3 linked regions of the Anolis sagrei genome follow. The protein of the gene in region 1 interacts with the protein of each later gene in a biochemical or structural test. Links are inferred from orthologs where the notes say so. Each region holds a gene or a part of one and is shown in the gene's direction. Other genes may lie near its edges. The genes, in order: ANAPC11, PTTG1 and UBE2C.

Region 1 (6,297 bases):
TCAAGGAAAAATGCAAGAAATGTAGGGCAGAAGATCTCCTGAGGAGGCAATGTTGATGAGACCTCCACCAAGGTGCCTCAGCCACAAAATAAAGTGGAGTGGTTGCATTCCTCATAGCCCCACTACAAATAAAATCAGAAGAATAATTATGGAAAACAAGTTCCCTGCTGTACTTTCTGTAGTGGAGCCCACTGTGGTGGAGAACTGCTTCTTGGGCATTTGAAGCGGCTTACCCTGCTTAAGCTACATACTCCTAAACAAGTTAAGTGATCTTGCATAACACTATATAAACCATTGCCATGTTTGAATCTCAAATCATGCAAGTGTCTTTTGCCTTATGCTGTTTTAAGAGCAGATTGGCAAAAAGTCTGGCCTTCATGAATCCAGTGTGTGAGCATATGTTCATCTGAAGTCATAAAAGCCATTGTACCCTACAACCAAACCACAATATATTCTTGTTTGCCTATTGTCTGATACAACATTGGCTTTATTTCAAAGGATAAACAGTACTGGGAAATGTGGTTCAACAGGATAAAATTTTCTCCCTGCAAAAAAGCCTGATTGTTTACCCTCCTCATAGAGTTTATTTTATGCATGCATTTTAGCCATGTTTCATTGTTATTTTATGGTGCTGTGTTTTTATGGTTGCATATGGCATTGAATATTTGCTTTTGTATTAGAAATCGCCCTGAGTCCTTTCAGGGAGATAGGACAGACTAGAAATAAAATTTTAATGATTTTTTAATTAATAATTTTCTGTCTTTGTATAGGTTAGCCTTAGGTTCAGACTTCCCTGCACAGAAAAAAATAATCCAATAGAGATCCACATATCCCAAGGATTACAAAAAGAAGTGTGTAGAACAGATATATCTACTATAGTACTAAGCTTATGAAATTGTTTAGAAAATGTTCATATATGTACTCTACACAAAACAAGACAGCCTATGAATATCAATGTGTTTGCTAACAATCCCAAACTATCAAAGGAAATAAATATTAATGCTGATAATTTCACAGAGAGACATTTCTGCTTCTCTCCAAACATTAAGACATTTGTCACAATCATAAAAAAACACCCATGTCCACACAGATGAAATTTGCAATAAGATGCCCAAAATAAAGGCGGTCTCCATTACACAACCTTATCAGCTAGCTCAGGCATGAGCAAACTTCGGCCCTCCGGGTGTTTTGGACTCCAACTCCCACAATTCCTAACAGCCTACCAGCTGTTAGGAATTGGAGTCCAAAACACCTGGAGGGATGAAGTTTGCTCATGCCTGAGTTAGAACAAATTCCAACACTGGGCCACCTATTATTAGAGATGAAGGGAAAACCTACCTGTATGTCCGCATCTGACACGCCAAAATCTAGATTAGAGACCAGAAGTTTTCCACCTGTCTCCACACCAGCGCCAGGACCAAAGCCACTTTCGAAGAGATCATGTTGCCACTTTTCTGGAAGTTGTTTGGGCTGGAAAGAAAGGGCACCCCAAGTCAGTAACTGATCAGCATATCTTAAGGCATTGGTTCTCAACCTGTGGCTTCCCAGATGTTTTGGCCTTCAACTCCCAGAAATCCTAACAGCTGGTAAACTTTCTGGGACTTGTAGGCCAAAATACTGGGGACCGACAAGTGGCAAACCACTTGTCTTAAGGTCTCATGTCCCCTTATTTTCAGACTACAGCCCCTAGAGCAGTGGTTCTCAACCTGTGGGTCCCCGGGTGTTTTGGCCTACAACTCCCAGAAATCCAAGCCAGTTTACCAGCTGTTAGGATTTCTGGGAATTGAAGGCCAAAACATCTGGGGACCCACAGGTTGAGAACCACTGCCGTATAGTATAAGCCTAGGCTTCCCTGCGTTTTCTCCCCCAGGTGCAGGCCCAAGTGCTATCACGAGTTGCGAATGCAGTGAGAGTCCAGATGAGCCCGAAGGCAGACCCCCAGGAGACGCCTGGCGGAAACGTACCCGGCTGTAGGGCGCCGGCCTGTTCCTGCCGCCTCCCCGGGACAAGGCGGCTCTGTTCCGGATGGGGCCTCCGCCTCCTGCCCGCCCCGCGCCTCCGCCTCCTCGCCCCGCGCCGCCGCCGCCTCCTCCGCCGCCTCGCCCCGCGGCCCCTCGCCCCCGGCCTCGCCCGGCGCGCCCGCCTCCGCCTCGCTGGCTCCGGTTGAGCTTGATAATATCGTCCAGAGACATGTCCATTTTGTCGCCCATGATGGCGGCTCCCTCCGGCTCCTGGGGCCTACGCTTCCGGCCGCGCTGCGCGAGGGGACCGGAAACGGATGAGGCGGGGATACAGAGGGAAGGGCGGCGAAGGAGAAAAAGAAGGAGCCTGGCTGAGGAGGAAGAAGAAGGAGAAGGAGGCGGGAAAGAAAGGAAGGGAAGAGCGCGGTGGGTGGGCGCGCTTGCGCTCGTGCCGGGCTCCTCCGCTGAAAGAAGTGCGCCAAGGGGCCTCTCGCGCTCGGTTTTAAGGGCTTGGGTGCGCGAGGAACTATGGGAGAGCCCTTGGGGGCGGGACTTCCGGTAAGGGGAAGGGAGGCGGGAAGGTTGGAGGAGGAGGAGGATGCTGCCTCGGGGCAGGGGAGGGGGCTGTTCCCCCCAAAGCCCCGTCTGCACTAAACATTTCATACAGTTCGGCAACCAGGCGACAAACTCCCTTGAATGCAAAGCCCTTAATGTGCCTCAGGGCTTTCAGCACTTTCTGGGCCTCAAACTGGCTCCAGGATTTCTCATGTAGCCATCTGACTGCACAGCAAAATCGCTTTGGAACTGCAATAAATGGCCAGTGTAGACGGAGACCTCAGACTACAGTCTTGTGGCTGCTGCTGTTGTTTGGCGGCTGCTCTTTGGTAAAGAGATCCGCACGTAATAATAGCCCAACGCTGAAGCATTGCCCAGGCCAAGCTGCTAGTTCCAACGAGAGCAGAGCCATTACATTGGTGCCAGGGCCCCTGGTGGTGCAGCCGGTTAAACCGCTGAGCTGCTGAACTTGCTAACCTAAATATTGGCTGTTCGAATCTGGGGAGCAGGGTGAGCTCCCGCTGTAAGTCCAGCTCCTGCCAACCTAGCAGTTTGAAAACATGCAAATGTGGGTAGATCAATAGGTACAGCTCCGGCAGGAAGGTAACAGCACTCCATGGAGTCATGCTGGCCACATGACCTTGGAGGTATCTATGGACAACACTGGCTCTTCAACTTAGAAATGGAGATGAGCACCAACCCCCAGAGTCGGACACAACTAGGCTTAATGTCAAGGGAAACCTTTACTTTTATAGATTCATGCCAATTGACTACGCAGCAGTCAGTGTGCGCCTAACAGTTGTAAAGGTGCCAAGGTCTGCCTGATCTTGAAAACTGCATAGCTCCTAGATGGGAGACAGCCACCAAATATCAGATGCTTTAGGCTAGGGGTCCTCAAACTTTTTAAAAAGAGGGCCAGGTCACAGTCCGTCAAACTGTTGGAGGGCCCGATTATAATTTGAAAAAAATATATGAATGAATTCCTATGCACACTGCACATATCTTATTTGTAGTGCAAAAACCACTTTAAAACAATACAATAATTAAAACAAAAACCAATTTTAACAAATATAAACTTAATAGTATTCCAATGGGAAGTGTGGGCCTCCTTTTGGGTGATGACATAGGATTGTTGTTGTGTGCTTTCAAGTCATTTCAGACTTAGGTTGACCCTGAGCGAGGGCCGGGTAAATGACCTTGGAGGGCCGCATCCGGCCCTCGGGCCTTAGTTTGAGGACCCTTGCTTTAGGCTATAACAACAGCAATCCTATCTCAGCCAAAAGCAGGCCCACACTTCCCATTGAAATACTAATAAGTTTACATTTGTTAAAATTGTTCTTCATTTTAAATATTGTATTGCTTTAAAGTGTTTTTTGCACTACAAATAAGATATGTGCAGCATGCATAGGAATTCATGTTATTTTCAAATTATAATCCAGCCCTCCAACAGTTTTAGGGACTGTGACCTGGCCCTCTGTTTAAAAAGTTTGAGGATCCCTGTTCTAGAGGCATCTTTCCTGATGTTTCGCCTATGGCAAGCATCCTCAGAGGTTGTGAGGACCTCACAAGGATGCTTGCCATAGATGCAGGCGAAATGTCAGGAGAGAATGCCTCTAGAACATGGCCATATAGCCCAAAAAACCTACAATAACGCAATCAGTCAATGATCAGCTTGAAGTGTTGTGTGTATACAGACACACAGATAGTGCAAAGAGCCTGCTATAGTTTGAGCCAACCATTAATTTTAGGTCACTGTTACAAAAGCAGCTACTTCATCACAATAGAGCAAACATGGGCAAACTTGGGTGCTCCAGGTGTTTTGGACTCTAACTCCCACAAGTCCGAACAGCTAGTAAGCTGTTAGGAATTGTGGGAGTTGGAGTCCAGAACACCTGGAGGGCTGAAGTTTGCCCAAGCGTACACTAGAGCATCTATCCACTTTAAATCCAGTTGTTCCCTCCTGCAAAATTCTGGGGTTTGTAGTTTAGTGAGTTCCAAGACCTCTCTGGATGAGCTTTTTAAAGGCCACTCTCTAAACTACAAACCCAGAATTCTGCAGGAGGCAGAAACTGGATTTAAGGTTGATAGATGCTCTAGTGTGCTGAAGTCCCTAGTTCTTCAGCTACCTAGGGTTTACTTCTTACAAGCTGTTTAAAAGAAGATGGCAAGATACGGGGAGCTGGTAACTGAAAATACAGTGTTTAAAATATTAATCTGATAATATGTAATTGCCCACGGGGAAGAATGCTTTATTTTTGATATGTGCTTTCAATAATTATGTACTGCTTTAACATGATAGTTTAAATTGTTTTAATGTTTTATTATTGGTTTATTTATTTATTTATTTATAAGAAAGGCAACATATAAATTAAATAAGACTCAGTTGAGAATATCCTGCAAAATATGGATATCTTTTGCTTTTCTTCCTTTCAAGGGCTGCGATAGGAACTATTGCAGTCTTAACAGTATGCAAAGGGGTCTTGTGGCACTTAGAGACTGAAAGAATGACGCTAGTAGCTTAAACTTTCATAATTCGTCCGATTTCTCAGATGCATGGACTGAAGTGCTTGGGAAAAATTCATAAAATCTATGTGATAAAAGTTTATGGTCCTAGAAGTTCTGTGTCAGTTTATTTATATTGTAAACAGCAATATCAAATAGTTAATTATAGTATAAAAAAAATGATTGTGTTTCAGTACATACATGTTTATCAGGTGGGTTAGCACCAGACATTCCTATTTATCCCTAGGGTAAAGAGATCTTTATACACAGAATGTGTGAATAGCCATAGAAATGCAAAACAGGTACAGGACAGTCCAAGAACTCCCTCCACCATTCATATGCTTATCTACTTATCTTGCCTTTAGGCAACATCTTCTCGACTCCCTTTGTTCCTCAGTGACATCATTAACACTGAACTGGTCATTTTAGCACCATGCCCACAAACTCTGTGGCGAGCTACTGACAAAATAGACTTGATCTTGGAAAGGTTATGTTATCAGTTTTGTTGTCTCATTTTGCCTCTAAGGTACTGCAAGATCCCTTTGCATACTGGTATTCTAGACTAATGCAGTCATGCCTTTGAATTCTACCCACATGGGATATGATTCCTACCCAACTACTTCAAATTTTGTTGAGTTCAATATTAATAATGTACCCAGCTTTGCAATGTCTTAATGCTGCTGTTCTTCTGCAATGCTTTTGTATAGTTATGCTGGGCATTAGGACCTTGGTATTCATCTGCTGTAATGGTTATACTATAAAAACAATGTAATCATAGGTAAGAATTAATATATATTACTTTGCTTTAATGTCTCAAAAATCTCTGCTTCCATCCTGTCCTAATCTGGAATTTGGTTGTAGTCTGTCCTGCATCATCCCTAAAGAAGGCACAAGCTTAACATACCTCCTGGACTGCATATACATTGTAAGACGAATATTAATATAATTTATAATGCCATCTATTGCTACCCTGGTGGAAAGGTTAAATAGGTTAAATAGTTTTTAAATTGCATTCCAGCTCCAATCTTGCTAGGAAACAGAGACTTTGATTTCTAGAAACTCTGATTCCCATTTTAGAAACAGTGATTTCCATTGGTTTTTTCTCTCCTCCCTTCAGGTGCTAAACTAGGTTGATCTAAGTGTGGTATTTAGTTGAACACAATGAAAGTGAAAATCAAGAGCTGGCATGGAGTTGCCTCTTGGCTCTGGGTTGCCAATGATGAGAATTGTGGCATTTGCCGGATGGCCTTCAATGGCTGCTGCCCAGATTGTGAGTATT
Region 2 (6,297 bases), about 2.3 Mb from region 1:
ACTTTCTTTAAGTACTGGCCAATGTGGCATTTGAAACTGTTTTTAATCGAGAAGAACAACATCTTGAGAACTGTATTATATGTTTACTATACATTTCCAACTGCAAGGAACTGAAGCACCAGGGATGGAAAGACCTGTTTTACAGTTCTGCTAGTTACATAAGCTTATTTAGTATCTAAGCTACTATGCTTGGTTAAGTCATGTGAACCTATGTGAAACACTTTTATATGCTCCTATAGTAGATATTCTGCAGACATGACACAGAATATAATAGTACAATTTTTAAAACAATAGCAACAACCATAATTGATGTTCTGAACAGTCAAGTTTTTGAAAGATGTAAAAGAAACTATAGGTCAGGATTAATTTAAGCGTAAAAGCTTTGTAATTAAAAAAAATATTACTATCTGTTTAAAAAAAAGATTATGATTAAAGAAATCTACACTGTAAAACAAATTGTAGCATATTTAGTATGCTTATGACTGCCCACATTTGCATATGTTTACCTGCTGCTTATGGTTTTCTTTCCAGCAATTCCTCCTAGCTAGTTTAGGGAAGAATGCTCTATATAGAGTAATGCTTCTCAACCTGTGGGTCCTCAAGTGTTTTGGCCTACAACTCCCAGAAATCCCAGCCAGTTGACCAGCTGTTAGGATTTTTGGGAGTTGAAAGCCAAAACATCTGGGGATCCACAGGTTGAGAACCACTACTAGAGCATTAACTAGCCCTTTTGACAGCTATTGAAGGAGACTGTGGTAAGAAACAGAGCCGAGACGTTCATAATTACACTTGTGATACTTTCTAAAAATTCCTTTATAAATAGATGTTTGAGACACTAAGTACATATGCTGCTTAAAAACTCAACTATCCTGTCCCTGGGTATATCTACACTATAGAATTAATGCAGTTTTGATACCATAAATCAATATAAATCAACCTAAAGGCACACACATATCCACATTTAGGTTTTTCCACTATGTTTTGAGGTCTTTCAGAATCAATGGCAGGTGATAAAAAGCTATAAATTAAGGAAGACTCTTGGTCAGGAATAGGTTTTCTTCTAGAATTCTAAACAGTTAAGAGTGTAGACATTACTATGTTGCTTTCCCATTCAAGTCCTAATTGGGGCTGGAGTTCTTCCTTAACTTCCAAGACCAGATGGGATTTGGCACTTTTAGGACATCTGGACAGTATACGTATTGACAAATAAAACACACAAATATAAAGGAACTAAATACCAAAGCAAGGTATACCTACTGTGGTTTCATGGAGAGCATTCTGTTTCTGATCCCTGCTGCAAACAATATGGCACTCCCATCCGGTGTTGCAGCAGATGGTTCTAACTTTACATGACTATAGGGAAGGCCACTTCTGTACTGTAGAAATAATGCAGTTTGAGACCACTTTAATTGCCATGGCTATGGGATCCTGGGGTTTTGTTGCTTGGTGAGGCAACAGCCTTGCTTTTAACTGTATTTTATGTTGTTTGGGAGCATTGACTGCCGATTGTAAACCGCCTCGAGTCGCCTCTGGGTTGAGAGGGGCGGTATACAAATATGGTAAATAAATAGTGGAAACATATGGCAACACAGGATGTATTTACACTGTAGGATTGGTATTATTACACCAAATTCACTGAGATCTGTAGTTTGACAACGTCTTTGGCTTTCTCTGTCACAGAGTGCAGAAGCCTTACAAAACAACAGCTCCCAGGATTCCATACCACTGCGCCATGGCAGTTAAAGTGGTGTCAAACTGCATCAATTCTACAGTACAGCTGGAGACCAATTCCAATCCCTATTCAACCCTAGAAATCCACCGAGTGGACTCGGAGCAGTCACACTCTCTCAGCCTCAGAGGAAGGCAAAGTCAAGCCCCTTCTGATGAACTCCTGCCAAGAAATCCTGTGGCAGTTTCGCTTTAAAGTCGCCATAAATCAGAACTGACTTGACAACAACAAGAGCGAGGGATTACGTCCGTTGTGTAAACAAGTGTAATTGAAAGGTAGTTTGAAGGAGGAGTTGAGATCCCAGGAGAAGACACACCACAACACATACAAAAACAGTCTCCGCTTCCGGAAACACCAGGAAAAGCCCCTCAGACTCACCCAAAAGTCGAAGGCATTCACTCCTTCAGCTTTACTGAGGCTACGACACTAAGTAGGCCTCACTTCCGTTTCCCATAATGCAGCGCGCGGCCCTATTCGCCCCTCCTACTTTTTTTTCTTAAAGGGATAGAGCTTAATTCACCTCCGAAGCAAGGGATCCTTCCCAATCAGCTTCGGCTGCCCAGCGTTCATTCTGGGTGACTGCAGAGAGTGAATGGCTGCTTGAAAAAAAAAAAAAAAGGATTGGGTTTAAGAACCTGCAGAGCCATAGCTAGAGCACTACTATGGAAACAGACCAATGGAATCATGGGATTTATAGTTTAGCGAAGGACATTAAGAACTCCCAGTTAGAGAGCTCTTGGGCCTCGCTGAACTACAAGCCCAGAATGGGAGGTGACAGGTAGAGCGCTGGGCTCTTCCTTTTGGGCAGCTGGGTCATTGGAGAGATTTCTCAGCCTTTTGCAGAGAAGGGAAATCATATCTCCCTTTCAGGGCAGCCCTGAGCCTCCTTCCACACAGTTGTATAACATCCATAATGAACCGGATTATATGGCAGTGTGGACTCAGATATCCCAGTTCAAAACAGATATTGTGGATTACTCGCCTTGATATTTTGGGTTTTATGGCTATGTGGAAGGGCCCTGAGGCATAACTCCCTTAGGCCCCTTCTACACTGCCATATAATATCCAATTTATTTTATTTGAACTGGATTATATGGCAGTGTAGACTCATATAATCCAGTTCAAAGCAGATGTGTAATATCTTTGATTATCTGGATTGTATGGCAGGGCCTTAGGGCCCTTTCAGTGTCCTTATGTACCAGCTGTGTTTTTGACTGCAATTCCCAGCATTCCTCAAACTGCCCTTGGTCACGCTTGGCTTGGGGATTCTGGGACCTGCAATCCAAAAAGGCCACTTCTGTGCTGTAGAAATAATGCAGTTTGGGACCACTTTAACTGCCATGGCTATGGGATCCTGGGGTTTTGTGGCTTGGTGAGGCAACAGCCTTGGGCAGAGAAGGTAAAACTACAACGCCCAGGATCGCATAGCATTGAGCCCTGGCAGTTAAAGCTGTATCAATGCGGCACTAATTCTGCAATGTAGATGCACCCAAAATTAACTTTTCAAAGCGGCACTGTAGGGTGCTCTCTCTGGATTGCAGCACAGGCCAGCATCTGCTAAGGTGCATCTACATTGTAGGGTGAATGCAGTTTGACACCACTATGACCGCCATGGCGCAATGCTATGGAACCAGGGGAGATGTAGTTTTCCAGGGCCCTTAGCCTTCTCTGCCAAGGAGTGCCTTGCCAAAGTACGACTCCCATGACTCCATAGCATTGAGCCACAGCGCTTAAAGGGATCTCAAACGGTGTGAATTCCTGAGTCCTGCAACTAACACCTACAGTATTTTCCGAGGTTTACTCCCGACTGCGCAAACTCCGCTCGCGCCCTTCTTCTCTGCTGCTGTTGGTTTAGCAAAACAGCCAATCAGGATTGCTGGCGTCCTGCGAGGATGGGAACCAACCAATGACGTACGACGTTAACGATTTTAAAAACAGTTCCCTGTTAGACTGAACTCTATGAACTCACTTTGAAGGCACGGTGGGTTGGGTTGGGATTCATAAGTGGGGTTTGCAGGTGTTTTTCTCTTCATTTTTAATGGAATGCTGCTTAATGCTTTGAGATTCAGGACTGCACCTTTATTTTGTATAATATTATAAGCATAATTAAAAATAAGATATAATTAATAATGTACCAGGAACAAGGATAAACATTTATGGTTTTGTGTTTTTGCTTTAATTCCTAGTTGTTTCCTGTTGGTCGAAGCTTCCTTCCAAAAGATCTCAACCAGGATAGACTGGTGTTATTTGGCTGTGTTACTGCAGTTGGTTGCTTTCCAGAGAGTGTAGTTTGAGTGAGTAGCTCCAGACAGGAGAAACTGTGTCAAATAAGCCAAAAGTGTCGGCATGCATGTTGTTGGCTTTAGTAAAAAAGTAACTTTTTTTAAAAAAATCTTGTGACTGTTGAAACCACTGGTTCATGGAAAGTATTCAAATAAGTTAAAACAACAAACCTTTGAACATCGTACCTTTTCAAGACTTTTCTGCTTTGTTTTTTTAATCGCTTTTGAAAAAAAATTGTTCTGTTTGCAAATGTACTTTTATTAAGTACTAGCCATCCCCTGCCACACCTTGCTGTGGCCCAGTCTGTGTATATGTGTTTTGTGTGTGTATGTATGTGTATATATGTGGTTATGCAAATGCGTTGTAATGTATTTTTTATTTTCTGGCTTTTTAAGCCCCTTCTGCTGTGTTTTTCAGTGTTTTTATGAGTGATGGTCACTCGTTGGCCTGATAGGTGTATTGTGTCCACATTTGGTGTCAATTTGAGTTATGTTAATCCCACAAACGAACATTCCATTTTTATTTATATAGAGTTCAAATTTTAATTAAATATTTAAATACCACACTGATGAACTTGTGAGCTTTTATTTTTCTGATGCAAGTGACTAGAGCAGGTATGGGGAAAGTTCGGCCCTCCAGGTGTTTTGGACTTCAACTCCCACAATGTATAACAGCCGGTTGGAATTCCTAACCAGCGGTTAGTAATTGTGGGAGTTAAAGTACAAAACACCTGGAGGGCCAAACTTTGCCCATGCCTGGATTAGAGAGCAGTGAATGTTTTTAAAATTCCTTATATAAAATACTGTAGTGTTTGTCCCAGCTCAGTAGAAGGAAGCTTCACAAGTCTTAAACAGTGTGTCAAACTAATAATGTTTGTTTTCACTCCAAGAAGCTTGACTGGGTGTTCTTGAGAGAACATGTTTCCTGTTGTATTTTTGGGGCATTATTACATGAGCAATATAGGATCTGCTACTGCAGCTGTGGTGTCTATTTTAGGACCATCTGATGCAAAAGGAATGGCAACGCGCATATACATAGACAAAGAAAATGGTGATGCTGGCATTGTTACTGCCTCTAAGGATCGACTCAGAACCCTACCAGCACCTTGTGAGTATGCATTAATTCAAATGTAAAGCCGATATAAAAGAACTAATATGCCCCTTTGCTTGAAAGTACTAGTGACTTTAATGAGCGAGTTCTTACTCACCCTGTGGTTACTCTCATTCTTTATCGTAGTCAGCTATGCATTTATTTTTCTCATCTTGTACATAATTGCTAATCTCTGGGCACATTTCATAAGCAGCCACATTACTGAATTGTAGTGAGGGTTTGATCAGTTGTTGAATATGTTCCTTTTGGGGAACCCTGTGTGTAGTATCTTGAGTTCCTTGATGGAATATAAACATATGTTTTAAGAAGATACTTGAAAAGGAGTTAGTGAAGCTTTTATGTAAAGAGTAGCAATGAGCAGAAGACAATGTTTTAGAAAGAAAACTTTGAACAAGCAAAGGAAGAAAAAAATGGATAGAAGGGACACATACTATTAATTGGTTGCCTTTCAATGAGGAAGCTTCCAGTAGTACTTCACACTTAGAACTTTCTCCCTTGCAAGTCATAACACCTGAGCAGAGTTGGAAGATTTCTTCCTCCACTAGGCTTTCACCTGGTCAGGTTATGAGGTCTAAAGTGCTTGTATTAATTGCTCTAGAGCACTGCTCCTTAAACCGTGGGCCCTTATCCTAAATAGTCCTGAAAAATTTGGCAACAGTCAAAGGTTTCTGAATATTACTTATGACCTCATCAGGCAGGGTTTTTTACCTGTCCTAGCACGCTGCCGGAGCCCATCATGTGACACAGTGCTACTAGCATCGGGGCTCCGTCCTGGCAACATGCTAAGAGGAAACCAGGGACAGTAGGGAAATGTGGGATGAAAGCCTGTGACCCACCATGGTAAAGGGATGAAGCTGGGAGCTGACACGGGGTCCACCCCCCCCCCCAATCTCTTGACTTTTGGACCTTAGTAGCAGTTTTAGACTTTTATACAAATCAGTTGTGTGTTGTTTACAGTGAACTGCAGAAAATTCTTCAGCTGTTCTTAATAAAAGAAAATCAACTTATTTAGCAATCCTTGGAAATGATTTTTATGCTTATTTTATTTATATATCCGAGGTTATGTAAAAATATCTTAGTCTAAAATGGGTCCTAAGTGGAAATGCTTAAGGAGCTGTGCTCTACAGTAGCATTCTGGAAACTGGATTGTAACACAGTTATCTTCCTTGATGGCA
Region 3 (6,297 bases), on another chromosome or scaffold:
GACGCATAGGGGAAGGGGCGGTGGGGGTGGGGGGGCAGAGCAGGATCCGCCCCCCTGACTGCGCTCACTCTCTCTCTCTCTCCTTGCCTCTGGGCTGGACCTCTGGAAACCACCACCACAACCATCTTCATCCTAATAAACACACCACTCACTCCGGCCGGAAGCCTCTTCTCCTCCTTTTGGGAAGACTCTGTGTCGGGGGGGGGGGGGGGGGAGCACAATCCCAGCCCACTGTCACTTATGAGGAAGGGTCCCCACACTGAGGGACAGATGCACTTGGGCGCAGCTTCGACCACTGTGGTTCAGTCAGTGGTGTGGCTTCTTTTGGCAGACGAAGTGGTGCCAATCCAGCATTAATTCTGCCGTGCAGATGTGTCAGGAGGGTCCTTGGCTCCATTGGTGTTGCTACGGATTGAGTCTTCTCGTGAAAGACAACCCCAAGGCGCACAGAGGGTGAACATACCGTACATCTTCCTTGTTCGGAGTACATCGAGACAGGGCTTTGCCTGCAATGCCATAAGTTCCTCAAAACCTCAGGTGCCTGCCCTTTCCCACGTACACGAGCCCCAAAGCAGTCACTCTACTCCCCACTCAACAAAGGTGGGCAGGAAGAGAGATTGGGCAGATTCAAAGATGGGCACAGACACCGAGAGACAACTGGGAAGCCCTGGCCCCTGAGTGCTCTAACTGGAAGTCAGCTGTGACCAGCAGTGCTGCAGAATTCACAGAAGCCTGAATGGAGGGCGAAAGGGAGAAACATGCCAAGAGGAAGGAGGCGCGTCAAGCCAACCCTGACTGGGACCGCCTTCCGTCTGGAAACCGATGTTCTCACTGTGGGTCCACAGTCACCTACGGACCACTACACTTGGAAGACCATCATCCTTGGGCAAGAGAGAAGCGTCCCCATCCCCAACCATCAGGGCCATTGGTCTTTCTGGCTGATCATGGAATCCCAGAATCCTGGAATTGGAAGAGGCCAACCCAGTCTGCCAAGAAGCAGGAATATTGCCTTCAAAGCACCCCCGAAAGATGATGATGATGATGATGATGATAGCTGGAGGGCCATCTGCCGGGGGTGTTTTGATTGTGCTTTTCCTGCTTGGCAGGAGATTGGACTAGATGGCCCAGGTGGTCTCTTCCAGCTGTATTATTACTCTAGGATTATTATTACTCTGGGATGGCTTGGCTCTTCTGGCTTGCCCACGCAGGAAGAGTGCTTGGAGGCTGCAGACAATGCTGTTGCTGTTGCCCATTTTGGGTCAAAAGATATCTAGCGGCCTGTGTGCCTTCTATGTTTATTGGTTTTATACTAATTTATGCCATGCTTTTGTCAAGAAACAAATATGGCTTCCTCTCACATGTATAAATATGTGAGAGGAAGCCACAGGGAGGAGGAGGAGGGAGCAAGCTTCCTTTCTGCTTCCCTGGAGAGAGACTAGGGCGCAACGGAACAATGGCTCCAAACTACAAGAGAGGAAATGCCATCTGGACACGAGGAAGAACGTCCTGACTGTGAGAGCTGTTCAGCAGTGAAACTCTCTGCCTTCCCCAGAGGGAGTGTGGTGGAGTCTCCTTCTTTGGAAGCTTTTAATCAGAGGCTGGATGGCCATCTGTCAGGGGTGGTTTGAAGGCAACATTCCTGCTTCTTGGCAGAATGGGGTTGGACTGGAGGATGGCCCAGGAGGTCTCTCCCAACTCTAGGATTCTATTGCCTCCTGATCCCTCAATCCCTGGTTCTCCACCTGTGGGTCCCTCCTCCAGGTGTTTTGGCCTCCAACCCCCAGAAATCCTAAGAGGTGGTAAACTGGCCGGGATTTGTGGGAGTGGTAGGCCAAAACACCTGGAGAGTTTCCTACTCATAGCCTCTTGTGTTCTGTAGTGGCGTCTTTTCTATTGTTTTTATAGCTGTATTGAAAATGACAATAAAGTTTATTTAAAAAAAAAAACACCTGGGGAGGGGCCCACAGGTGGAGAAGCCCTGGCCTAAAGCACAGCCTGCAGGAGGGCCGGTGTTGCCCCTTTAAGGCCGCCTCCCTTTCCCAAGCCACGCCCCTTCCGCCCTCCTTCCCTGGCCTCGTCAGCGGGGCGTTGCCCAATGGGAACAGATTCCCCCGCCGGGCCCCGCCTCCTTTCCGCGATTGGTTGAGGAGTATGGTAGCGCGGCGCTGATTGGCCCTCCTGGAGCTTGGCAACATTCAAACTGGGAGGCGGCGGCAGAAGGAGAAGGAGAGCCTGGAAGGAGGAAGGAAGGAAGAGAAGGACAAGAGACAGAAGGAAGGCAGAGAGAGAGAGAGAGCGAGGCATGGCTTCTTCTTCTTCTTCCTCGCAGAACACGGACCCGAGCGGGACCCCGGCCCCGGGCAAGGCCGCCGCCGCAGGGAGCGCCGCCGCCGGAAAGGGATCCGTCCGGAGCAGGTCGGGCAGGGCAGGGCAAGGCCGGGCAAGGTCAAGGGGGAGCCTCCCTTTCTCCCTCCTCTCCCCCACTGACCCCTCTCTCCCTCTCTCTCTGTGTCCACAGGCTGCAGCAGGAGCTCATGGCGCTGATGGTGAGTAGGCCTTCTAGACTATATTATTATTATTATTTATTAGTTATTATTATTATTATTATTTATTACCTTTATTTGTACCCGAAGGACTCGGTGCGGCTCACACAGGCCTCAACACAACACAACAAACACAACAACAAAACTCAAAAAGCCAAACAATAAACATTAAAGCCATAACATCAGGACGCATTTAAAACTAAAGGCCGGGCCACATGTAATGCATACAATCAAAAGTGCTGGGCATGGCAGGAGGTACGTAAGGACTGTATTATGCTGCAGTCCCAGCCGTGGAGGGGGAAGAGAGGGGTATCCCTCAACCAAGGACCCCTCCCCTTTGGCTGCCAATCAATGGGGACCCCTCCCCCTCGGCGACCTCCATGAGGACAGGCGCCTCTCTCTCTTCAGCCACACGGCTCAGGGCCACAGCCTCCCTCCCCCCTCCCTTGTGTTGCCATGTATATTTTTAGCTTTTGAAGTCTCCTCTGCTGTGTTTTCCAGTGTTTTTCTGAGTGACGGTCACTCCCTGGCCTGAGAGGGGCCTTGTGTCCACATTGGGTGTCCATTCGCCCACTGGTTCCTGAGTTACGTTAATACATGTCAACGCATGTGCAAAATCCCTGAAGGGAGAGAGGGGGGGAGGGAGGGCCAGAGTTGGGCCAGGCCGGCCTTCAGGGGAGGACGTTGTGGTCAGGCCAGGGAGTGACCATCACTCATAAAAACGTTAAAAAAACACAGCAGAAGGGACTTCAAAAGCCACAAAAGCAAAAAGACTACAGCGCATGCGCAAAACCACACATATACACAAACACACACAAATATATACGCACACAAAACAGATATACACAGGCTGGGCCAAAGCAACACATGCCAGGGGGTGGCTACTCTATATAAATAAAAATGCGTTGTTTGTTTGTGGGATTAGCATAACTCAAAAACCACTGGACGAATGGACACCAAATTTGGACACAAGACCCCTCTCAGGCCAACGAGTGACCATCACTCATAAACACATTGAAAAAACACAGCAGAAGGGACTTCAAAAGCCACAAAAGCAAAAAGACGCTACAGCGCATGCGCAAAACCACAAACATGCACAAATACACACATATATTTACACATAGACACAAATATATGCACACACAAAACGCATATACACAGACTGGGCCGCAGCCATACGTGCCAGGGGATGGCTAGCACCTATCTAAATAAAAATGCAGAGTTCATTTGTGGGATTAACACAACTCCAAAACCATTGGGCGAATGGACACCCAATGTGGACACAAGACACCTCTCAGGCCAGGGAGTGACCATCACTCATAAAAACACCGAAAAACACAGCAGAAGGGACTTAAAAAGCCAAAAATAAAAAATTACATTACAATGCATTCACAAAAGCATATATACACACATATATACAAACACAAAACACATATACATAGACTGAGCCACAGCCATACTTGCCAGGGGATGGCTAATAATAATAATAATAATAATAATTTTATTATGGTTCAAGGCAGAATAAAATACTGAAAACACTTAGGTCAGACCATAAGACTGTCAAAGCAGATAGAACCAAAACAAAGAGCAACGATGACTCCGCCAACGCCTAGAAAATGTGGATTTCAAGCCTGGGGGGGGGGGGGTTTCAACGTCCTGGCGGCCGGGCCCTTTTTCCTGGGGGTCCCTCTGCTGCCCCCCACCCCCGCCCTTGGAAGCCTTCTCCAGAAAGAATGCCGTTTGGCCCCCAGCTCAGGGCTGAGGAATGCTGGGAGTTGTGGTTTCGCAAGGCCTTGAACACTGCAGAACCCACGCAGCTCAGCCCCACTTTAACCACCATGGCCCAGGGCTGTGGAATGCTGGGAGTTATAGTTTGGGCAGGCCCCAGTCCTAGCATTCAGCCCTTGCAACTGGGGGAAAAATGGCTTTCTTTGGGCCAAGAGAAAGCAAAACATCAAAGCCAGGAAGGAGTTAATGTTTCTCTCCTACTTCGCTGATGTTGCCCCCCACCCCACCCCAGTGACCACAGGGAAGCCCTCCAAGCGCTCCTTCCCACCCCTCTTGTTTTAGCAGAAGGAGCCCTTCATAGACCCATAGGGTTGTGTGAGACCCCAGAGGCCATCTAGTCCAGCCCCCTTCTCCAATCCCCCCCCCCCCAAGCAGAGGGTTCTCTGGGGCTGCTGGGCTTGCAGTCACGGGAGGGAGACACGAGGGGGTCTGGATAGCTTGATCCAACCCAAAGGAGCGTCACTTGTGTGCCAGGAATCTGGGCCCACACACCTCCTACTTGGGGGGGGGGGGGCACTCCCTTCGCCCCCCCCCCCCCCCACTCCTGACCTCTTCCACCACTCACCACCCCACAGATGTCGGGGAACAAGGGCGTCTCGGCCTTCCCAGAGTCGGAAAACCTCTTCAAGTGGATCGGGACCATCGTTGGAGCAGCTGGGACGGTGAGTGCGGGGGGGGGGGGGGGGACACACCCTCCCTTCCTTCGGGATAGAGGTCAGCATCATTATTAGGAATAATAATAGTATCGCTTTTCTCCATTTCCAAGCCAAGGAGCCGGTGTTGTCCATAGACATCCTCCTGGTTGTGTGGCCAGCATGACTGCTTGAAACATCTTTTTGCCTTTTCTCACTGAGGCAGGACCTATTGGTCTACTCACATTCGCATGTTTTTGAACTGCTAGTTTGGCTAGGGCTAACAGCGGGAGCTCACCCCCAACCTGCAGCTTTGAACTGCCAACCTTCAGGTCAGCAGTTCAGCAGCACAAGGGGTCAACCCATTGTGCCACCCAAAGTCTTCCCAAGAGACCCACACACCCCCACTGTTTGAGGACCAGAACACCCCCCCCACCCCCCAATTGAATCTGCTCGCCCATCTCCAAACGCCTTCTTGCTTTATCCTCATCCAGAGCTAAATGCTGACCCGTTTGGGTCTGATTGCTGCCCCCAAACGCCACTTGGGACTTTGAAGGACGGAAGCTGGGGTCCCATTTGGGGAGGGGATCGGCCCCCAAACCCCCGGCCTTGGCTGACCTGGGCATTAAAGGCATCAGCCTGGTGGGAGAAAGCCAAGCCCAAGGAGAGCAAACCGGGCCCATCCAGTGCCTGGGTGTCTCTAAGGGTCTGTCTGGGAAATGGAGGGGGGCTGTTCCCCAATGCCACGGACCCCCACATTGCAAGAGACGTGGCCCACCTGAGAGGGACACCTGGAACAGCACTGGGATTGTGGCACAGCAGGCTGAGTGTCAGCTGCATTAAGATCACTCTGACCAGAAGGTTCGAAGCCAGACTGGATCGGAGTGAGCTTCCGACCAATTTTGTGTAGCTTGTTGTCGACCTTTGCAACCCGAAAGTTGCATCTATCAAGTAGGAAAATTAGGGACCATCTATGTGTGGGGAGGCTAATTAACTAATTTATGAGGTCATAAAAAGCACTCCAGCAAAAAAGCATGCAGGGAATGTGGAAGTACTTCCTCAGTGTTGCAGATGGACGATTAAAGCGACAGCTCCTCTGGCGGCCAGAAAAAGTTAAATAGCCTCTGTGTATATACGTTGTATGTCTAATTGGCATTGAATGTTTGCCATGTATGTGTACATTGAGTCCCCTGCAGGGTGAGAAGGATGGAATATAAATGCTGTAAATAATAAATAATAATAATACGTCAGTCTGGATGAGTGACAGTTGGAGAAGCGAGGCTCGGCTGTGTTTGTGTGCGCCCCACTTTCTCTCCCCTGAGGGGGACTCCGTT

What was found.
Region 2: of the proteins of ANAPC11 (region 1) and PTTG1, one has a biochemical effect on the other in vitro, tested with the Homo sapiens proteins (3 studies listed by BioGRID). The link is inferred for Anolis sagrei from reciprocal best matches to the Homo sapiens genes ANAPC11 and PTTG1.
Region 3: the proteins of ANAPC11 (region 1) and UBE2C form a complex in vitro, tested with the Homo sapiens proteins (66 studies listed by BioGRID). The link is inferred for Anolis sagrei from reciprocal best matches to the Homo sapiens genes ANAPC11 and UBE2C.

Annotation. Positions count from the first base shown.
Region 1 is NC_090022.1:113,660,172-113,666,468, forward strand, and holds the start of ANAPC11 (anaphase-promoting complex subunit 11), read left to right. Parts: upstream 1-2,300; 5' UTR 2,301-2,387; exon of another isoform or gene 2,388-2,519; intron 2,520-6,135; 5' UTR 6,136-6,179; coding exon 6,180-6,288; intron 6,289-6,297. Other genes in the region: ALYREF (THO complex subunit 4), read right to left, coding at 1,339-1,470, 1,965-2,210. UniProt on the Homo sapiens protein: Together with the cullin protein ANAPC2, constitutes the catalytic component of the anaphase promoting complex/cyclosome (APC/C), a cell cycle-regulated E3 ubiquitin ligase that controls progression through mitosis and the G1 phase of the cell cycle.
Region 2 is NC_090022.1:111,399,822-111,406,118, reverse strand, and holds the start of PTTG1 (securin), read left to right. Parts: upstream 1-2,272; 5' UTR 2,273-2,304; intron 2,305-3,607; exon of another isoform or gene 3,608-3,746; intron 3,747-3,780; exon of another isoform or gene 3,781-3,815; intron 3,816-3,915; 5' UTR 3,916-4,023; intron 4,024-5,008; 5' UTR 5,009-5,028; coding exon 5,029-5,119; intron 5,120-6,297. UniProt on the Homo sapiens protein: Regulatory protein, which plays a central role in chromosome stability, in the p53/TP53 pathway, and DNA repair. Probably acts by blocking the action of key proteins.
Region 3 is NC_090024.1:248,941,313-248,947,609, reverse strand, and holds the start of UBE2C (ubiquitin-conjugating enzyme E2 C), read left to right. Parts: upstream 1-2,237; 5' UTR 2,238-2,302; coding exon 2,303-2,415; intron 2,416-2,518; coding exon 2,519-2,546; intron 2,547-4,906; coding exon 4,907-4,993; intron 4,994-6,297. Other genes in the region: DNTTIP1 (deoxynucleotidyltransferase terminal-interacting protein 1), read left to right, coding at 1-9. UniProt on the Homo sapiens protein: Accepts ubiquitin from the E1 complex and catalyzes its covalent attachment to other proteins. In vitro catalyzes 'Lys-11'- and 'Lys-48'-linked polyubiquitination.